Macaca fascicularis: one gene and its partner. The main gene of each other region encodes a partner of the protein of the gene in region 2 in a complex. Links are inferred from orthologs where the notes say so. Each region holds a gene or a part of one and is shown on either strand. Other genes may lie near its edges.

Region 1 (9,552 bases), on a different chromosome or scaffold from region 2:
CCATCTAGTGGAAGCTGGAAGTGTCGACAGCCAAAGGCTCCCAGCCACCACCCCCACCCTGCCCTGCCCAGCCAATGGAGAGGTGTGCTCGGCCAGGTCATGCCAGATGTCATTGTCTGTGTGCACCATGACAGGGACCCCAGCGCCCTGTTCTGCTCTCTTTTTCCAGGGACCCTGGAAGCAGGTGGCGAGCTTCAAGCTGGGCATTTGACAATGGGGGCTTCTGAAGGCATCAGTGGCTAGCGGAGACAAACAGCCTAGGACTGCAAAGTGCAGGGGAAGGGAATTGTGTTTCATGCCCACAGCCCCTGGGGACCCCATAGGAGGCTGAGGGAGCAGCCACTGGTCCCGGCCACTCACAGCCCGGCCACTAGCAGCATCTCATGGACAATCCTTTTTGTCTTTCCTCAGATGGAAAAATTGGGCTCTGAGTAACAGGTGTCAGCTTCAGGGAGGTTTAGAAGTAGGTATCAAAATGACAGACACAGTCAAGCTCATAATATTTTCCCGCTGAAGTCAAGACAAATGTGTGTTTCCTTGTGATGCACATATAACATTTAAGAGAACTGGATTCATTCACAGAGTTAACAGAGTTTTTGGATTCAAATTTGAAATAGGTCACTGAGTAATTGATTTAAATGCAGGATTTCAGGTTGAACTCCTCTCTGAGGGTGCTGCAAATAAGCGTTAGCCCAGGGAGAGGGAGAAGCCTCTAGCTCGGTGGATGTCAAACAGGAGAAGTGAGGAGTGGAAGGTGGGGAGGGTGCTGTGAGCACCCACAGCACCAGGATCTCTGGAACATGCACCAAGGAGCACCACCAACCTCTATCCCCTTCCCTCCAGCAGCCAGGAGACAAAGGAGACTCTTGTCTGGAGTCATTGCTGTGCCAAAACATGACCTTAAACATAATAGCATCTTGGCTGAGCGCGGTGGCTCACACCAGTAATCCCAGCACTTTGGGAGGCTGAGGCGGGAGGATCACCTGAGGCCAGGAGTTTGAGACCAGCCTGGCCAACATGGTGAAACCCTGTCTCTACTAAAAACACAAAAATTAGCCGGGCATGGTGGTGCGCACCTGTGGTCCCAGCTACTTGGGAGTCTGAGGCAGGAGAATCATTTGAACCCGGATGGCAGAGGTTGCAGTGAGCTGAAATCACGCCACTGCACTCCAGCCTGGGCGACAGAGCGAGACTCCATCTCAAATTAATTAATTAATTAATTAATAGCACTTAGCTGCTGTGGAAAACCATATGGCAGTTCTTTGAAAACTTAAACATGGAATTACCATAGGATCCCTCAATTCCACTTCTGGGGATACACCCGACAGCATGAAAACAGGGACCTGACCAGATGTTTGTACAGCCACGCTCATAGCAACATCGTTCACCATAGCCAAAAGGGGGAGGCAACCCAGGTGTCCATTGACAGATGAATGGATAAGCAAAATGCGACGTGTACACACAGGGAATATTATTCAGCCTTAAAGAGGAAGGAAACTCTGACCCATGCTACAACAGGGCTGAACCTTTAAGGACATTCTGCTAAGTGAAATAAGCCCGTCACAAAAGGACACATGCTGTAGGATTCCATTCATGTGAGGTTCTTACGGTGGTCAAATGTATAAAGATAGGGAACAGAGTGGTGGTTGTCAGGGGCTGGGGGAGGGAGAATGAGGAGTTAATGTTTACTGGGTACAAAGTGTCAGTTTTGCAAGAGAAGAGTTCTGTCGGTGATGGTAGTTGCGCAACAATGTGAATGTAATTCCACTGTATACTTAAAACTGTATACTTAAAAATGGTTAAAAAGGCAAATTTTAGGTTATAAATATTTTACCACAATTAAAATATTTTAAAATCCTTTCAAAGCCCAACCTTTGCAGAATAATAATAATAATAATAATAATAGCACCTGAGTCCTTTTTGGTTTGCAAAACATTTTCACACACATAGTCATACATGCTTCAACAACGGCCCTGTGATAAAAACATTTATTAATTTGGCTTCCCAGAGGAGAAAACTAAGGTTCAAATGGGGTGAAATGGCCAGGTGCGGTGGCTCATGCCTGTAATCCCAGCATTTTGGGAAGCCCAGGCAGGTGGATCTCCTGAGGTCAGGAGTTCAAGACCAGCCTGGCCAACATGGCAAAACCCCGTCTCAACTAAAAATACGAAAATTAGCCAGGTGTGGTAGAGTGCACCTGTAGCCGCAGCTACTCAGGAGGCTGAGGCACGAGAATCACTTGAACCTGGGTGGCACAGGTCGCAGTGAGTCAAGATCGCACCACTGCTCTCCAGCCTGGGTGACAGGGACTCTGTCTCAAAAAAAAAAAAAAAAAAAAAAAAAAGGCCAGGTGCAGTGGCTCACGCCTGTAATCCCAACACTTTGGAGGTCAGGAGTTTGAGATCAGCCCGACCAACATGGTGAAACCCATCTCTACTAAAAATACAAAAATATTAGTCGGGCGTGGTGGTGTGCACCTGTAGTCCCAGCTACTCAGGAGGCTGAAGCAGAAGAATCGCTTGAACCTGGGAGGCGGAGGTTGCAGTGAACTGAGATTGCGCCACTGCATTCCAGCCTGGGTGACAGAGTGAGATTCCATCTCGGGGGAGGGAGAGAAAAAAAAAAGATTCTGACAAAATGCCGTGAAGATCATCTGTAGATCTTGTTAAAGTGGAGTCACATTCAGAGGGTTGGGGGCGGGGTCTGAAATAGTCTCTAAGCAGGTTCCACATGGAGCCAATGCTGTCGGTGCAAGGACCGCCATCCAGCAGCAAAGATCCAGTGTACTTTACTTAATAGACAAGGAAGCTAACCGGGAAGGGAGTGACTTGTCCAGGGTGACAGGCCAGGGTGGCACATAGGAAGCTAATGGCCAGGGAATGTGCATGCAGCTGTTTTGCCAAAAATTAGCCACCTCCTTAAGCTGACCCAGATAAGTGTCCACCTTTTTAAAATTATTATTTATTTTTTTGAGACAGAGTCTCACTCTGTCACCCAGGCTGGAGTGCAGTGGCACAGATCTCCGCTCACTGCAACCTCTGCCTCCCGGGTTCAAGCGATTCTCCTGCCTCGGCCTCCAGAGTAGTTGGGATTACAGGCACGCACCACCCCGCCCGGCTAATTTTTTTGTATTTTTAGTAGAGATGGGATTTCGCCATGGTCTTGAACTCCTGATCTCAGGTGATCCCTCTGCCTCGGCCTCCCAAGTGCTGGGATTACAGGCGTGAGCCACCGTACCCAGCCTTGAACCAAGGTTTCTAAGATGCTCTCAGCCTCCTTGGATCTGGCCTAGCACACCTTTCCATCTTATCTTTTCTGCACAACCGCCCACAGCTAGCCCAGCCTACGCCTCAGCCAGTCTGGCTCCCTGACGATGCAGAGCCGGCACCGGCTGCAGGAGCCAGGCCCAGTCCTGTCCAGGGCCCCCTGGCCGCAGACAAACGCTACAGACACGGCTGGTAGCACATGGTTCTCTTTATTGTGATGCTCCATGGAAAACATCCGTAAACCAGCTTACTGTAGTGGTGACAGCCGCAACACATGCTAAGGCACTTTTATTATATAAAAAAGGGGTGGGGTGAGAGTTTCACTCACTCCTTTGTGACAGCAACTGGGACCTGAATTCAGAGCTTTGTAGGCATTACACAGCTTTTATATCGCTTCGTGATTTGAGAGTTTGTTTCCTTTTAAAAAAAAAAAATGCCTTCTTGCCATAAGTCTCAATGCAGCATATACAAAAGTTAGAAATACAAGTAAATTCGGCAACCAGTGTAGACCAGTGAGGACGAGCTAACTCTCTTATAAACAAAGGCAGTGAGAAAGACTCAGAATTTTATCATTTATTACGAGAAAGGGGAAAAAAAGAAAACCTTGTTTTGCTTTCAAAAATATCTGTGCAGGTGGCAGATTTTTAAACTATACGAGTCAACGGTGCAGGTAAAGGACCCTCGGGCCCAGTCCTAGAGTAGACACGAGATCGCCTGGCAGGGCTGCTGGCCCCTCTAACGCTCTGGCTGTCATACTTGGGACAAGTCCCTTAACCATTAAATATATTTGGTCCCCAAAAGTGTTGGGAGAAGCCACTGGAAGGCTGCTGGCCTTCCCTGCTTGACCCCGGCAGCCTTGCTGTGGCAGAGGCAGGCTGTCCTCGGTAAAGGAGGGGAGGGGGCATTGCACTTGAGACATTTTAGAATCAGGAGGGAGACAGTGGACAGGGGCGCTGCCTGGGACAGGGTGGGGAGGAATCCACTCCTCCCCCCACCCCAGCATTCTGTGCCCTGCACAGAGGTGGAGCCCCAGAGCCTGCTCCTTCCGGACCGCCCAGAGCCACGGGAGTGGGAGGCCCAAGGGGCAGAGGTGTGTGAGGTCACCACGTGTGATTGCCAACAGCAAAGAAAGGAGGAGTGGGGGCGCTGGTGGCAGAGGTCAGGGAGGCTGACAACTGCGGGGGTTCCGACTACCAAAACACCTTCAGTCTGAAGAAAAATAGATTCATAGAAACTCTGGCCCCTCCCCGGGGGCCTGCCCTCCTCGCCTCAACATCTTGTGCTTTTTGGCAAGAGGGGGATGAGGAGCCTGCTGGTCGCTCTCTGCCTGGGCCCGGGCCCTGTCTCTTTGGTATCAGATTCTGAGCGGGGGAGGGAGCTGGAAGGGGATGCAGCAGAGGAAGCCAAATGCCCTCAACAACACCTGGAGGGAAACAGGATGGGGGCACGGGGCTGAGGGCAGGGGGAGGCGCGTTCACAGCAGTCCCAAGAAGGTGGGGAGAGGCCTGCTGCAGGGTCTGGAAAGGGGAGGCTGTGGTGTCCGTCTGTCCATCCATCTCAGGCTGCAGGAGAAGAGGCTTATTCGGCAGGTTTGGCCTCAGCCCCATCCGCTTTGCCATCCACCTCCTCGTCGGAACCATCGCCAGCGCCTTTCCGGGCCATTCGGCGGGGCATGACAAACGGCAGGTCCCCGCGCCTGGGGGCAGAGGCAGAGGCAGAGGGTCAGTGGGCACAGACAGGCCAGGGGTGGCCGCAGCACAGCACACACATCTCAAAGCGAATTCGAGAGGGAAACCAGGCGCCTGGCTGCTCCCACCAGGAAGAAGCAAGGCGGAGCCTTGGGAGCCACAGGTGAGCTGGACAGGACCGCTCTCAGGAAAGCAGGCAAAGCTTCCCGCAAAATGTTTCGGTGTCAGACATCTTCACACACAACCATAGCACAAAAACAGTTCAGGCAAACAGGACCAATTACAACAGGAAAGGCACAGAAGTAAGTGTAAAATGCCACCCTCTGTTGCAACTCCTATAAAACCGGTGAAACCAAGACAGGTAAACAGGTGTGCTTGTTCACACAGAGTACAAAGCCGGGCACCCTCTTTCTACCACATGGCAGAAAATTCATATCCAATACTGACTCCTTATGCTTAAAAAAAGAGCACCATGAAGGCCTGGCACAGTGGCTCACGCTTGTAATTTCAGCACTTTGAGAGGCCGAAGTGGGTGGGTCACCTGAGGTCAGGAGTTTGAGACCAGCCTGACCAACATGGTGAAACCCCATCTCTACTAAAAATACAAAAATCAGCTGGGCATAGTGGTGCATGCCTGTAATCCCAGCTACTCCAGAGGCTGAGGGAGGACAATCACTTGAACCCGGGAGGAGGTTGCAGTGAGCTGAGACTGCATCATTGCACTCCAGTCTGGGCAACAAGAGTGAAAATCCATCTCAAACAAACAAACAAACAAACAAACAAGATCCCCATGAAAAAGAGGTAAGAAATGAGAATCTCAGAGAATAAGATCCTCTGCTTCAAACATTCACTACTTGTTGAGTGTTAACACTCCCTGGGAAATGCAAAGGAGCCTTTTTAACCTCTGTAGACATTGTTTATGAGGCCCGTATTCATTTTGTAGATATTTATGAGGCACCTAATATGTGCCAGGACTGGGCCAGGTGGCCTCAAGCAACTTCTAATTCAAAAGACAACAGACTTTTAGGACAGGCTAGGAATAAACTACCTAGAGTTTACTGTGTGTTGAAAACACTAAGCTGAAGCCTCAAAGGCAAGAAGTCAGAAGGGGCAGAGATTGCTTTGTGCAGTCCTTTCTTGGTGTCATTTGTGGTTTGCTTGTGGGCTGTGATTGAGGAACAAGCTACCTTTTGAGAGAAGTGCCGAGGCAAAGGGGTGGGTTGGGCGGTGGGGGCTCACCTGAGCTTGTTCTTGAGGGAGCTGACCTCGCGGTTCATGGCATCGGCCGTCTCGGTGGCGTCCTCCAGCTCGCGCTGCAGTTTCCGGCGGGAGGCGTTGGCCCGCTGGGCCTCCTCTTCCGCCTCCTCCAGCTGCCGCTTGAGCTGCTTCAGGCGGGTGGATGCCTTGTCGGCCTGTGGAGATGGACGTGTGGCCCGTGGTCCTGGTTAGGGGCTCTGGGCGTGCAGCCAGCCAGCCTCACTGCCCTGCCTGTTGCCCCATCTGCTGCCCAGCCCGGCTGCCCTTCTCACTGCCCCACCAGCGCCCGCACCTGGTCCTTGTACTGCTCGGCGTTCCTCCGCTCATCATCCACCTGCAGCAGCACATCCTTCAGCTTCTTCTCCGTCCGACGCACCTGTTTGCAGGCTGCCTGGCGCTCCCTGCATGACAGACAAGGTGGCTCAGAGGGAACACCCTCCTTCAGAGGGTCCAGCCAACAAACCCTAACATGGACCCCCCGTTCCCCGGGGCTCGCTGGCATCTAGGGATCACCTAGGGAGGCCTTTGCTGGACACCTATGTGTGCCTGGCTTCTTATGATGGGCACTGCAAAAAGCCCCATTTACAGATGGGGAAACGGGCGCAGGTAAGGGAAGTGACACACCTCAAAGGGCATCTGTGTAACTGGAAAGGAGGTTTGGGGGCCTACTGTAACCCCCATTCCCTCCAAGGAAGTCTCAGTCCTGCTGAGCCCACAGAACAACTGCCCGGGTGGGCAGGACCCCCCTCTACCTCCTGCTCTGATTCACCCTCAGAGACAGCCACCAAAGCTCCTGGCTTTCGAGGTGGAACAGAGAATCCCGTTCAAACCCCACAAACTCCCCCAACCACCCAACTGTGGAAGGGATGTGGGCCCCATCAGGAGGGAGGGAAACAGCCCCCAGCACTCAGGAGACAGAGAGCTGGTTGTGGCCCAGATTTGGGCAGGACTGCAAGGGGGCTGGAGTTTTTGCCAGGACGGCTGGAGTTGGGCGGGGTCAGGGGCACGTACTTGGTCTCGTTGTCCAGCTGCTCCTCCAGCTGTGCGATCTTGGCCTCGAGGGCAGTGATGGAGGCCTTGTACTTGGACTTGACAGTGCCCTCCATCTCCTGCAGCTTGACCTTGAGCTCCTTGTTCTGGCGCTCCAGCTGCTGCCGAGCATTCTCGTTCTTCTGGGCGTGGCTGCGCTCCAGGTTCAGGTCGGTGTTGATCTGGTCGATCTACAGAAGGAGGGCCAGTGACCTCGGGAAGGGCTGGGGCCCTGGCTGGAGGGCACGAGCAGGGCCGGAGGAAGGTGGCAGCAGGATCTCACCAAACCCTTGGGGTCCAGAGTCGTGGGTCTCCCAGAAAAGGGAGGATTAGAAACTTCTGAACACCCAACACAGAAGCCAGAGGGGACTCTTTCATGTCCAGGTGCCTGGACATGTTCCCGTAAGCACCTGGGGAGCAGCTGGCACTTGGCCTGTGCTTCTGCCGGCTGGGTCTGAGGCCAGCTCTGCCGTGGTGGCTCCAGAGCCCAGGGTAGGAGAAGGCCTGGCACCCACCTGCAGGTTGGCCTTCTTCAGCCGGTCGTTGATCAGCTCCGTGTTGCCCTGCTCCTCCTCCAGCTCCTCCTCCAGCTGGGCGATGCGGGCCTCCAGACGCCGCTTCTCCTCCAACGCCAGGGCTCTGTGGGGTGGGTGGGAAAAGTGAGGGGCCTACCCCGGGGGCACAGCTGGTCCCCCTCAACTCTGTCCCCTCACTCAGCTCACCCTTTGCCACTGCTGTTGGCGATCTCATCAGCCAGCTCATCCCGCTCCTGCTGGGCCTGGCGCTTGGCACGCTCCGCGGCTGCCAGTTCCTGCCACAAAGACCCAGAGTGTGACCTGAAGGCAGCCACAGCCCTGCAAGACCATCCTTCCCAGCCCCGGGCACCCTCCTCTCAAGCCCTTCCCCAGGCCCACCTCCCCCAGGAAGCCCTTCCTCCAGAAACCCTCTAGCTCACAGGCTGGTGCCCCCCTGCAGTCATAGCTTAAGCACCACATGTTTCTAAAACTCTTACATTTAAGTGCTAGGAATCAAGCCAGGTGCCAGGGTGTGGCGATAAGAAGTGTCCTGGCCTAACCAGGGAGACCATGTGGACAGAGGTACTCGGTGCGGCCCCTCCCTATTTGGGTGAGCCAGAGCCCGGAGTCAGCTCCGGAGGCCACAGGCAGATGGCTACACCCTGGTCGCACTCGCAGCCAGCACATCATACTGCAGGGCACCCTCCAGAGCCAGGAAACACTTCAGGACAGGCTCAGGTGAGACGGGTAGGGTGGCCTCCCAGACCCCTTCTCACCAGGCACCATTCATAGCAGGAGGTGGTGGCAGCCACAAAGCCTCATCTCATGTGAGGCATGCCAGTTTCACACACACACACTCTCATCATACCAGGGAGCCCCGCCATGTAACGGAACCCTGGAGGGAATCGTTTGTAACATGAGAGCCATCCCCAGCCAAATCCTGGAGCCCAGTCGGGACCCTAGCCCTGTCCTCAACTGAAGGCCCTACGCTGCCACCTGCTGGCTTCAGGGCAGCGGTGCCGCTCTCCACTGCAGCCCCACCCACCTCCTGCAACTGGATCATCTCGGCCTCCATGCTCTTCAGCTTCTTCTCGTTCTCTTTGGCCTGGGCCAGGATCTCCTCACGGGAGGCGCGGGTGTCATCCAGCTCGCGCATGCAGTCCTTCATCTGGGCCTGGGGTGGGGACAGAGGCTTGGCACCCCACCCAGCTCCTTGGCCCTCCACCCCTACCCTTGTGGGTCACCTCGCCAGCAGGGCTCATGGCTGGTGCTCCGCTCGATGCTTTATTTAACCAACTAACCGTGGTGACAGGGCGAAAAGGCAACTAAAGGCAAACACCTCTGTGACCCACCCCATCATGCACACTTTGACAGTGCTGGTCACCGTGGACGTGAGCCCAAGCTGAGCTTCATTTCCTACTTTCTGTCCCCTCCTGTGGGCCGGAAGCTGGTGCCCACGGTGCCACCCCTAATGTGCACCTGCCCCTCAAAACCAGTGCCCAGCCTGCCGGGCCGTCCCCACCACAGGCAGGAAACACCTTTCCTTTTGTTATTCTCCTGTTATTTGTTAGAACAATAAAGATCTTTGCAGATAAATCCTAAATTGAGATTCCCCAAACCAAAGAGCATGACTGGCTGTGTACAGCTCAACCACACCAGTAAAAAAATGCCACCAGCAATCACAGTAGCTATGCCCACAACCCTGACCACAGAGAGGTTTTAAAGTTTTTGTGGGTTTTTTTTTTTACACTTAAAAAATTTTTTTTAAACTAAGGTTATTCTTGTTACATGATATGG
Region 2 (10,504 bases):
GGAGTAGGTATGTGTCCCCCAGAGGGAGTACTCAGACTTTGGGGTGGAGGATGAGGGAACAATCACCTACCTCCCCAAGACACAGCTCTTTCTTGATCAGCTCCTTGAGTTCCTTCCTACTCAGGGTCAGTTTGCTACCCTCTCTCCCCGAATATTTGTGAAACGTGGTCACCATAGTGGTCAGGGCCTTCTCCAGAGGGGTCTCCATCACAGTGTGCAGCTCTGCAGAGGGAGCAGGGAAGATCCCATTCCTCAGGAAGTCACCACCAGCAGCACTAGCCTACCTCTGAGGCCCCTCCCTCAAAGACAAGAGACTGGAACCCAAGATGAGACCGAAATCCACTAACAAGAGCACCCATCTGTATCAGCACAGGTTACAGTGAGACCCACAGCAAACCCTGGAGCAGCTGATACAAGGAGAACGGCCAGCCCCCAAAGCAGACCGCAGACTCTCCTGCTTGGGAGTTGTTGAAAAGGAGGCCTGGGGCAGAAAGATGACAAGACGACCTCCTCAAAAAGCCTGGTGGCAGATGCTGGAGCAGATCAAGGGTCACGATTTTCTCTCTGCCCCTTCCAGCCTAGGAACTGGTTTTCCACAGACAGTTCCTACCTTAGTCACCAGCCTTTCCCCCAGTGCCTGAATCACCTGATATCGAGGAGTGTCCCATTATTAAAGTGGGGGACAGGGCAAAGAGAGAGTCCAGGGCTGAGAGGGGGCTGGGCTGGAACTAGGAGATGAGGGCTCAACAAGGAGCAGCAGGGAGGTGGCTGAGCTGGCCCAACTGGTCTCCAGACTCTGGCCCAGAGCAGTGCACACACAGACAGGCCAGCAGGCAGGGAGAGCAGGGGGCCTCTTGAAATCTCCAGGATCATTCCAAAACCTGGATCCAGAGGCTACGCTTGAATAAAGGCCTGGATTCCAATGGCACAGCCACCCCCAGCCAAGGGAAGAGACGGATGGAGCTCAAGTGACTCAGACTAAAAACCACTTCCCCCTCAGGGAGGAAGGAGGCAACACCCACAGAACTTGAGGACTGCAGGTTAATCCTGTCCTCACCTCCAGCCCAAAGCCCTCCCTGCCATTCTTAAACCAGACCCATCATTCCTCTCCCACCACCCAAAACCTCAGCCTCTCCCACCTCAAGGAGACTCAACTGGGGCCGCAGTTGAAGGCAAGGGCCTCTGTGCACCTGCAGGAGCATCCTGGCTAGTCCAGACCCCCACCTCCACCCCAGAGCCATTTCTCAAGAAGTTCCAAAGGCTCTGCCGTTTCCTCCCCGAGTGCATGCCCGCTTGTGGGGCCAGGCCTCCTTGGTGGAGGTCACCACCGCTCGTCACCCTCACCATCCAGTGTGATCCACCAGATAGCAGACAAACAGGGACATAAGAAGGAAGGACTTACCACTGTGGGAGTGAGCCCAGAGAATCCAGGCAGCAGACACAGCCTCCCTCTCACTGCCTTCTGCCTTTATTCGCCTGCTCTCTGTCCCCAGGAAACCAGGAGAGAGAAAGGGCCCATGGGAAGAGGCTGGGAACTTGGGGATGCTCACGTCAGAGCCTCCCAGGATGGAGCTGGGGAGAAACCGCTTCTGTCAATCTCACCTTCCTTGTTTACAAACAAGGGCTGGGGACACACTGAGTTCCCATAGCACACACGTCCCCAATCCCAGAAACTTTATTCTTCTGACCAAAAATCAGAACTCACAATCTGAAATCTGATGGAACAATAAGCCAAAGAAGGGAAACCAGGTTGTCCTGGAAAGAAAACTTCGGAGGTATGGGCCAAACAGAGGGCACCATCTCCCCATGTCCTAGGAAGCTCTCCGCATCAGGACCCTCCCACCCATCTTGCCACCCACTCCAGAAGCAGAGAGGACAGCCCTTGAGATGGGGATCAGTGGAGGAAGATATTTTCTGCGAAGGATATGGTCAAGGTCGTGAGCTAATATGGACCCAGAGGTTTTTAAAGGGCTTTTAAATGAATGATTTCTTCTAGGCCTCACTGCTCTTCGCAGGAAAGGCTTGTCGGAGGCTCTTGGCATGGAGGACTGAGAATCAGGAATAGGAAAGGCACCCAGCGAAGGGCTAAGGCCCAGCACTGGGGTAGAGGTTGTGGATTGGGGAGGGGGGTTCGGGCTCAGGTTGCAGTCAAGGAGGGAGTAGGGGCCAGGGAAGTTCCCTGTATCCCAGGAGACACTCAGACATTGTTCTACCACAGTAGAACAACGTACTTCTACCACCAGTCCAAGAACAGACCTGGGCTCAGGGTGTAGCGCCTGTCACTGCTACAGTCCCACCCCAGCCTGGGAGGCCTTCCCACTGCTCCCCACTCCACCCCACCACCAACTGGCAAGGTTGCAGAGGCAGCAGGGATTGGTTGCTATGCAGCAGGCATCTCTGAAGGACAGCGTGATGCAGGTGGAGGCCGCAGAGAGGGTGCTCCCAGGGAGGGTGGATGGAGAGGACAGGGGAAGGCAGCAGACTTTCTCCTGAACTGAAATTCCTCCCAAGTCTCTGCAGTCAAACCCTGAGGGAACATCTGAGTCACCTGCCCCACTCCTCTGAAACCTGAGAGAAAAGCCCCACGTGACGAGAGGAAAGAGGACCCGTAAGAGGAGGTCAGTGGGACCAAGCCCTCCAGCCTCTGCGCCTGATCTCCACGCACTTCTTCCTTAAAGATCCCCGTGTCAGCCAGGCAGGGCCTTGAAGTCTAACCTCTGCCCACCACTGCACCCTTGAACCACTGGCCTTGAACCTACTTAAGGGGAAGCAATATCATGCCTCATATTTTCTGGGGTGGGGGGGAAATAATCTCAATTTCATTTATCAGATCAAAATTCCACATATGTGGAATTTTGTCTCCAAACTATGGTCACCTTCTCACCCTTTGCCTCACTCCCACCCCAGCCACTGACCCCCACTCATCTCTTCTGAGGTCCCCTGTCCTTCCCTGAAGGAGCTTGATTCCTGACTGATAACAGATCTCATCCAGGGACCTTTGTGGCAGAGACGGTGGATTCGAGAATGCCTATATTCTCATGCTGCTGCAAACAGCCGGGTCTCCCTCCACATTGCCTTCCCTGATCCTACCACAGACAGGAAAGGACTAATCCATCCCTGTGGTTTGAAGCCAGGGATCTGGAAGGGGGTGGCAGGATAGAGCCTGGACTGTAAATGTCAGCACTAAGTGCCAGCCCTCCTCCCCATCCCACTGTCACCTAAGTACTTCCTCCCTGCAGCTCAGTCTTATTCTTTTCCCTCTGACTTCCTCCCAGGACACCCAAACTCCATTCCAGACCCCAGCCAGGAACAGATGTGACCTTCAATTCCAGCCTCGGTTCAAGATCCTGTCAGAGGCAAGGTTGGAGAGAGGTGGGAGGGGTAAGTGGGCTGGCTGAGATCCCACAGCTGGAGCTTTCCAAACCTTGACAAGGGGGTGGTTATGGGGTCCCCTTCTCAGCTTTGACCTCACTGAGTGAACTTTATTGCCTGTGCATACACTCATAGTCATCCTGCATCCCTCCCCTGACTTCACTGGTTTGCTCTCCATAAAACTTCAGCTCTCCCCACCACCACCCCACAACATCTCTCTCAGCCCCCAACCCATGCCCCCAGAGTCTCTCAAACCATCAGCCTCAAAACTTCCAAGAATCTTTATTGAACTTGCTCAGCATCAAGCACGTGTCTGAAGGATCCAGGGTGGGGCACTGTGCCCACTGGCGACAGGGAAGGCCCCAGCTGGCAGAACCCCCAACCACATCAGAGAAGCTTTCATTTCTTCCTGGGCTGCTTATCTGGGAAGCCTTCAAAGAATTCATTACACATCATGGCGATGCAGGACAGGAAGACACAGTACTCTTGGAAGTCCACCTCGTTGTCCCTGTTGCTGTCCAAGTTGCTCATCAGCTTCTGGAATGCAGCTTCATCTGTCCTTTTCTGGAGGGAGAAGAGGCTACAGATAGAAAACAGAAGCCCAGTAGGGAGAGCCAGGACCAGACCCAGTTTCTACTGCCAGACCAGAGTTCAGGGAGGCTCCTTTGGGAGGTCCAGTTTGGAACTCCAACCCTCAAGGCTAAGCTAGGATGGAGAAGGTACTCCTTGGATAAGGAAGTCTGAGTACCTGGTGCAATGGAAAAATGACGGAACCACTACATTTTCACCCAAGGTTGCTCTAATAATCCCATGAGGTAGTAATAGTCATGAAAGCAATATGTAAACTGTATTATGTTTGATACAAATATACATTGTTAGTGTTTGAGGGGAATGTCTGCAGGCCTGTGATCATCTCCACATCTGTGTCTTCACATCTACAAGCCAAACAGAAACTCAAACAGTGTCCACTGTTGGCGTGATGGCAAGAGTCAGACAGTCCTGGTCCAGATGGCAGTTGTGTACGCTGACCACCTTGGGAAGTTACTTAGCACTCTGAGCTTAGTCTTCCCTTCAGTTAAGTTGTGCAAAGCATCTGGCAGTGTCTGACACATTCATTCTCAGCCCTCTTTCAGCATATGGGGCCAGTCAGTGAGCGGTGGTGTTCAATGTGTTTCCACCCCAGGCAGTCACCCCACTGATAGATGCCCTCTGTAGCTAATGCTCTAGATCAAGACTGCTGCCCTCCTCTGTGGGAAATGCCCCACGTGGGGACACACTCAAGCACTACCCACTCACCCCCAAGAAGCTGGGCAGCTCCCGGGTCAGCAACTCCTTTAGCTCTGATTTGTTGAGCTTGAACTTGTCACCCTCTTTGCCCGAGTACTTGTGGAAGGTGGACACCATCACATCCAGGGCCTTCTCCAGAGGGCACGCCATGACAGCAGTCAGGATCTGGGAGCAGGAGGCACAGAGACCCTCTTATTTACCCCACCCCTCAGAGATGTGTTCAGAATGCCAGGCTCCCCTCCCATCCCTCCAGGATCACTTGGCGAGACTCTGCTCCCTCCCTGGGGGAGCCCAGAGCAGTGGGCCCAGCACCTGGCGGGGAGGGTGTGCACAGTGGGGAACACATGCTCTGGGCAGTGAACATTTGCAGAACCCACTGCGCAGGCTCTGGAGATTCAGGCAGCAAGCTCCCAGGGCCTCCCAGGCCTCGCCTCAACAACAGCATTTTTTCCATCCCTCGCTCAGTCTATCCACTCCCACGGCTCAGCCACAAAGGCCCCGCCCTGGCCATTCTTCTCCCTCCCAGCACTGGGTGCGGCTGCTGGAGGCCTGCCCAGGGGCCTGCAGCGGAAAAAACCAGCTGCTTAGTGCTCAGCGTAGGGAGGGGCAAAGTGAGATGGCAGAGGCAAGGGTTGGAAGAGAAGGTGCAGAGGCCACGCTCCTTCTTGAGCTGGGCTGCTGCGTGCAGGGCAGAGGCTCATGGGGCACACCACCAGACGAACGCCCACAGTTGCCTTCTGCCTTTCCTTTGCTTCCTGCTCCCGAGTGCGCAACCCAGCAAACATGAGCCAGTGCAGATACCCATGGGCACATACATACCAACACATACTATAGCAACAGCATGTGCAAGCCCACATCTCGGAAGCACCTGGAGAGCTCAAATCTAGCCACTTGCTCGCTTTTCTGTTGGTTTTTTCCTCCCTCTTACGTGCACGTGTGTGTGCACATGCACACCCACACACATGCACACCCACACACATGCACACCCACACACATGCACACCCACGCACACACTCTACCCAGAGTTCCACATCAGAGTCTCACATCTGGATCTCTTTAGCACATCTAGCCCCCACCAGCTTCCCCTTCTCCTGCCCCAGCCCTGGCCTCTGACACTCCTTGCATGCCAATCAGGCCAACACAACTCACCAAACCAAGAGAGAAGCGCTGAGGAGAGAGGGTTGTAGAGAGGGGAAGAATGGGGACGGCCCAGCGGTCTGACCTATTTATACCCCAGCCAGGCCCTGCCCATAGCAGGGGACAGGGGAGAGTGGATACTGCCTTCCTGCTGTGGGCTGATGTGTTAAGTGCCACAGCACCCTCCACCAGCCCAGCCTTGCAACCAAGCCTCTTGTTTGGGTAACGGGTAAGCCCCAGCAGTTACCAGCAGGGACCTGGATGCAATAGGCACCACCCAGTGTACATAGCTCAGCCTGAGTTTTAGAGAGGTGGAGGAAGGGGTAGTCTGTGTCTGGAGCATGGGGGACAGGGAGGGAGTAGTTCCATCAGGGAGCTAGGAAAGAAGATGCAGGGGGTGGTGGGTGACAGATGGGAGATTGCCCTGGAAATGTGGTGACACAAAAGCTAGGGAGGGGGATGGGAGGATCGCCTGAGGCCAGGAGTTCAAGACCAGCCTAGGCAACATAGTGAGACCTCTGTCTCTATAAAAAGGAAAAACAAAATTTGTTTTTAATTAGACGGGCAGCGTGGCTGTAGCCTGTAGTCCCAGCTAGTCAGGAAGCTGAAACAGGAGGATCGTTTGAGCCCAGGAGTTCGAGACTGCAGTTGGCTATGCTCAAGCCACTGCTCTCCAGCCTGGGCAACACAGCAGACCTTGTCTCTTAAAAAAATAAAGACTCAAAAACAAAAATGGGGCAGGGATCTCCATGCCCAGTACTGTCTGCCATGCCAAGTAAGGCTCAGGGCCAGGGCTGGGGGATCTGGAGGGGAACAGGTTCACACCCAAATGAGGCTCTGGGACCCCTTCAGGAACGTCAGTGGGAAAGGTCCTGGGTGAGGTGGTGATGGAGTATGGAGTGGCAGTGACACGTGGGGGCTCACGGATAGATCTCAGGTTCGGAGAGGGTATCAGGAGGGGCCATTTCAAGTTGGGATGAGTGTCAGGAATGAAGAATCCAGGTTGGGGTGGAGAGTTAGAGGTGAAATGGCACGAAATAGGGGAGTTAGAATTCGAGCCAACCTCTCAGGGTGGGCTACAAACTCAGTGAGAGTTAGAAGTAGGGGGTTAAGGCCCTCAGGGGACTGCGGCTTCAGGGATAGGGGCTGCCTCAAGTTATCCCCTTCCCCCTCCACACAGGGCACAACTTCCTGGCTGGGAGTAAACACCTCAGACACCCTAATCCCATTAGTGCTGCTTTCTGGGCTCCCACAGCCCGGGGCAGGGAACAAACACCCCCACTGTGCCCACGGCCCCACCCTCCTCAGGTCATCCAACCGTGAGCACTGAGTCCCAGGGGAAACTCAGGTGGTCCTCTCTCAAAGACCCCAGAGAGAGAGAGAGAGAGGAAGGGAGGACAGGGGTCCCTGTGTTGGCCCCACGCCCTCCTGCTGGACCCTGGAGGCCACTGCATTTCTGCAGGGTCTGCAACTTCCCTGGGGGAGCCCCCTGCCCCTGCCCCTGCCCCTGCCCTCAGCTGCCTTCCTGCAGTAGAAAAGGCCAGAAAGTAGCAAAGAGCTCAGCAGACACGTCCTCAGAGAAGAATCAAACAAAACCAAGCTGATGCCAGTTTTTTATTAGGAGTTAAATAGGCCCTTTCCCATCGTGGTCTCATTGGTGCACGCTCTGCTGAGCCTCGAGGGCCTCACAGCAGATCCCGCCTCCTCCCATCCACAAGGGAGGCCGCAGGGGTGCAGCAGGCAGGCTGGGGCCCAGAGTGGCTCTACCCCTCACTTGCTGGGCATCCTGGGAAAGGAGCCCTCACATCTCTGGGCCTCCTAGGTAAAATGGGTTAACTGATCACGGAAGACCTGGGCAAGTCCAGATTGAAAGGGGTACAGGAGAGAGGGTAGGAGGGAGTGTGGGAGACATGCCCAGCCCCCAACAGCTGGCGCACCCCCTGGAGCAGAGGCTACTGGGAGCAGGGGGGATCTGAGGGACAGTCCTTGAAGTACTCGTGGCAGTAGAGACAGAGGCAGGCAAGTGAGCGCACATACTCCACAAAGTCCACCTCGCAGTCCTTGTTGGTGTCCAGAACACTCATGAATTTGTTGTAGTCACACTCCCGAAACTCAGTCTGTGCAAGGGAAGGGTGGGGAGGAGTGGGGGAGTAGGATGAGGAGGGCAGAACAGCCTCACACGCCACCTCCCTCCCTCCTCTCCCAAGTGGACCCACCCTACCCCAAACTACACCCTTCCGAGGGCCAATTTCAACCTCCCTGCTCTGATAATGCACCCGTTGCAATCCCCTCCCAAAACTGCCCTCTCAGATTATTAATCGAGCACCTACTATTTGCTACTGAGTGCCTACTATGTGTTAGGCATTCTTCATGGTGCTCTCGCTCAGTCCTCTCAACAACCCTGCAAGGCAGCAGGTGTGATGATTGTCATCCCATTTTATAGATGAGGAAGCTGAGGTTTCTGCTATGTCAGTTCTCCCCTCCCACTTCCTCCTCACAAACCAGCCCCCTCCCCTTGCTGTCCTGTGCTCATGCTTGTCCCCAGGTCTCTCTTGGCAGAGTCTAGGCAGTGCCTCCCACTGGGCGAGGAGGGGACAGACACTCCAACTGCTCACCGGGGTCCAGGTGGCCAACTCCTTTTGCAGCAGCTCCTTGAGCTCCGCCTGGCAGAGCTTGTATTTGTCCCCACAGCGCCCTGCATATTCCTGGAAGGTGCACACGATGGCAGCTACCGCCTGCTCCAGAGGCCTGGCCATCCTTACTGTCACAGAACAAGGGTGTGACTCACAGCAGAGTTCCAGGCCACCCCCCCGGCTCACCTCTGCCCTCTGTGTTTCTCAGAGACTGTTCCCAGACCCATCCTAACCTCCATCAGGCTTCAGGCCTCGCAGTCTCCCCCTCCTCTGAGCAGCCCTCCCGGACCACACCAGCCCCTCCTAATTTATCCCCCTGCTGTCCTGTTATTACTTCCCCGTGTGGAGGTCTCATTGCCCCAACATCACCGCAAACTCCTCAAAGAGACAGCATCCCACCCCACCACCCACACTCCCCACTGCGGGGCTCCTTAAGCACTCCCAGATTCTCTGCCACCTCTTCTTATCCCCAACACCCAGGGCTGGCTCGGTCCCAGTCTGCCCCAGCCCATGAGATGCCCTAGAAGCCTCCCTCCCGCGGGAACTTGCACAAGGAGAGCCTGGCCCTGTGTTTCTCTGCCCTCAGGCCCTTGGAGAAGCCAGGCCTTAGCAGGGAGGGGCAGGTCTGAGAGGCACCCCCACCACCTCACCACCACTCCCCTCATCCTGCCTCCTGCCCTGAACTCAAGGAAGCTGCATCCAAAAGAAAAACTCGTGGGATCCTCTCTCCCTCTCGCCAGCGGTGCAACCCTGGTGAGTCATTTGTCTCTCTGGGTCTCAGGGGCGGGGCCTAATCTATAAGGTGGGGTCATCCCACCTCACAGGCCTAGTCAGGAGCCTGAACCAGATGATCTCTTGAGAGTTGACCAGTTCGGGTGTTTACCAATCTGAGACTCGCCTGGCCTGAGGTTACCCTCCTGACCCCTGGGGGTTTTGAACAGGAAGGCTCTATATAGGGGTACCCTGTTCTATTGGAGGGGAAGCCCTTCCTGGAATTGCTCACCTCCCCTCACTTCAACTCTCCCCTTCCACCGCCCTTCTGGGATGATGCCTCCAGCCTGGGAAAACCCGAAGGCGGCCAGGAAGGCAAGAGTTTTTTCCATGCTAGCCCAGTGACTCACTCCCGGTTCCCCCACGGGACGAGAGTCCTGCAGCACAGGACAGCCAGGGCCAACACTCTCCCTGAAGATTTACCCATTGCTGGGCCCCTGCTGGGAGCAAATGGCTGGCATGGTCGAGGCTGGCAGGAAAATAGGGGAAGGAGAGTGGGGGGTGTCAAGCACTGCCAGAATTCGATTCATTGTAAACACCCCAGGATTGGAGCAAGGTGTCCAGGTTCCCAGGAGAGGAAAGGGCCATGATCCTGAGAAATGAGCAGCCTCAGAGGTAAAGCAAGGAGGCAAGGAGCAAGTGAGGGGCCTGACCAAGGGGAACACCAGAACCTTGAGCCCAGTGCTCCCACCCCAAGGCAGACCTTAGCTCTACACACCCCCCAGTCCAAACTTCCCCGACAGCCCCTCACTGTGCAAGGAAACCTCTGCGTCCACTATATCTGACTTCCCTCCCCCTGTCAGGCCCACCTGTGGTCATCTCTCTGCTTCCAATGCCAGACCCTGGGTCAGGAGTCAGGTTGGCTATTGGGGGTCCCCCAAACTGCCCTGACACTCAACCCAGGGCAGGACCCAAGCAGCTGGCACTCACCGCTGGTGCTGGTGTTTCAGCTGTAGGAGCTTAGAGACAGGGCCTCACTATTTGTAGCCTCCCAAGAAAGGAAGGAAGCAATTATGGGAGACTCAAGTAGGTCAACACTGAGGATGCCCTCAGGGATCCCTCAGCAGCCCCATTACAGGCCCCAGCTGCCCACCTATCCACGCACACATCAAAGGCCAGTCTGGGCTCAGACACCACTCCCCTTTCATTCCCCCTCTGCCCTCCCCCAGAGTTGGGAACTGGGGACAGCTTCCTGCCGAGTCCTTCCAGTTCAGTTGGAGAAGACAGGCTGGCCTATCCAGCACATCACAGCCCCATCTCTTCACTCTGCAGAGGCCCGAGAATACCAAGTGGGGACACACTTC

The links.
Region 1: the proteins of S100A4 (region 2) and MYH9 are in contact, whole or in part, in an NMR structure (PDB 2LNK), measured with the Homo sapiens proteins. The link is inferred for Macaca fascicularis from reciprocal best matches to the Homo sapiens genes S100A4 and MYH9. Residues at the interface, in NP_002952.1 of Homo sapiens: Leu38, Ser44, Phe45, Leu46, Gly47, Lys48, Arg49, Thr50, Asp51, Ala54, Phe55, Lys57, Leu58, Asn61, Leu62, Ser64, Gln73, Glu74, Cys76, Val77, Phe78, Ser80, Cys81, Ile82, Met84, Met85, Cys86, Glu88, Phe89, Phe90; in NP_002464.1 of Homo sapiens: Thr1906, Ala1909, Met1910, Glu1913, Val1914, Ser1915, Leu1917, Lys1918, Lys1920, Leu1921, Arg1922, Asp1925, Leu1926, Pro1927, Phe1928, Val1929, Val1930, Pro1931, Arg1932, Met1934, Ala1935.

What each region holds. Positions count from the first base shown.
Region 1 is NC_088384.1:15,395,592-15,405,143, reverse strand, and holds the end of MYH9 (myosin-9), read right to left. Parts: intron 8,930-9,552; coding exon 8,801-8,929; intron 8,052-8,800; coding exon 7,963-8,051; intron 7,880-7,962; coding exon 7,756-7,879; intron 7,432-7,755; coding exon 7,223-7,431; intron 6,613-7,222; coding exon 6,504-6,612; intron 6,367-6,503; coding exon 6,194-6,366; intron 4,963-6,193; coding exon 4,845-4,962; 3' UTR 3,457-4,844; downstream 1-3,456. UniProt on the Homo sapiens protein: Cellular myosin that appears to play a role in cytokinesis, cell shape, and specialized functions such as secretion and capping. Required for cortical actin clearance prior to oocyte exocytosis. Promotes cell motility in conjunction with S100A4.
Region 2 is NC_088375.1:107,612,916-107,623,419, reverse strand, and holds S100A4 (protein S100-A4), read right to left. Parts: upstream 5,860-10,504; 5' UTR 5,809-5,859; intron 4,825-5,808; 5' UTR 4,810-4,824; coding exon 4,669-4,809; intron 3,937-4,668; coding exon 3,772-3,936; 3' UTR 3,638-3,771; downstream 1-3,637. Other genes in the region: S100A5 (protein S100-A5), read right to left, coding at 71-208; S100A3 (protein S100-A3), read right to left, coding at 7,749-7,913, 8,412-8,552. UniProt on the Homo sapiens protein: Calcium-binding protein that plays a role in various cellular processes including motility, angiogenesis, cell differentiation, apoptosis, and autophagy.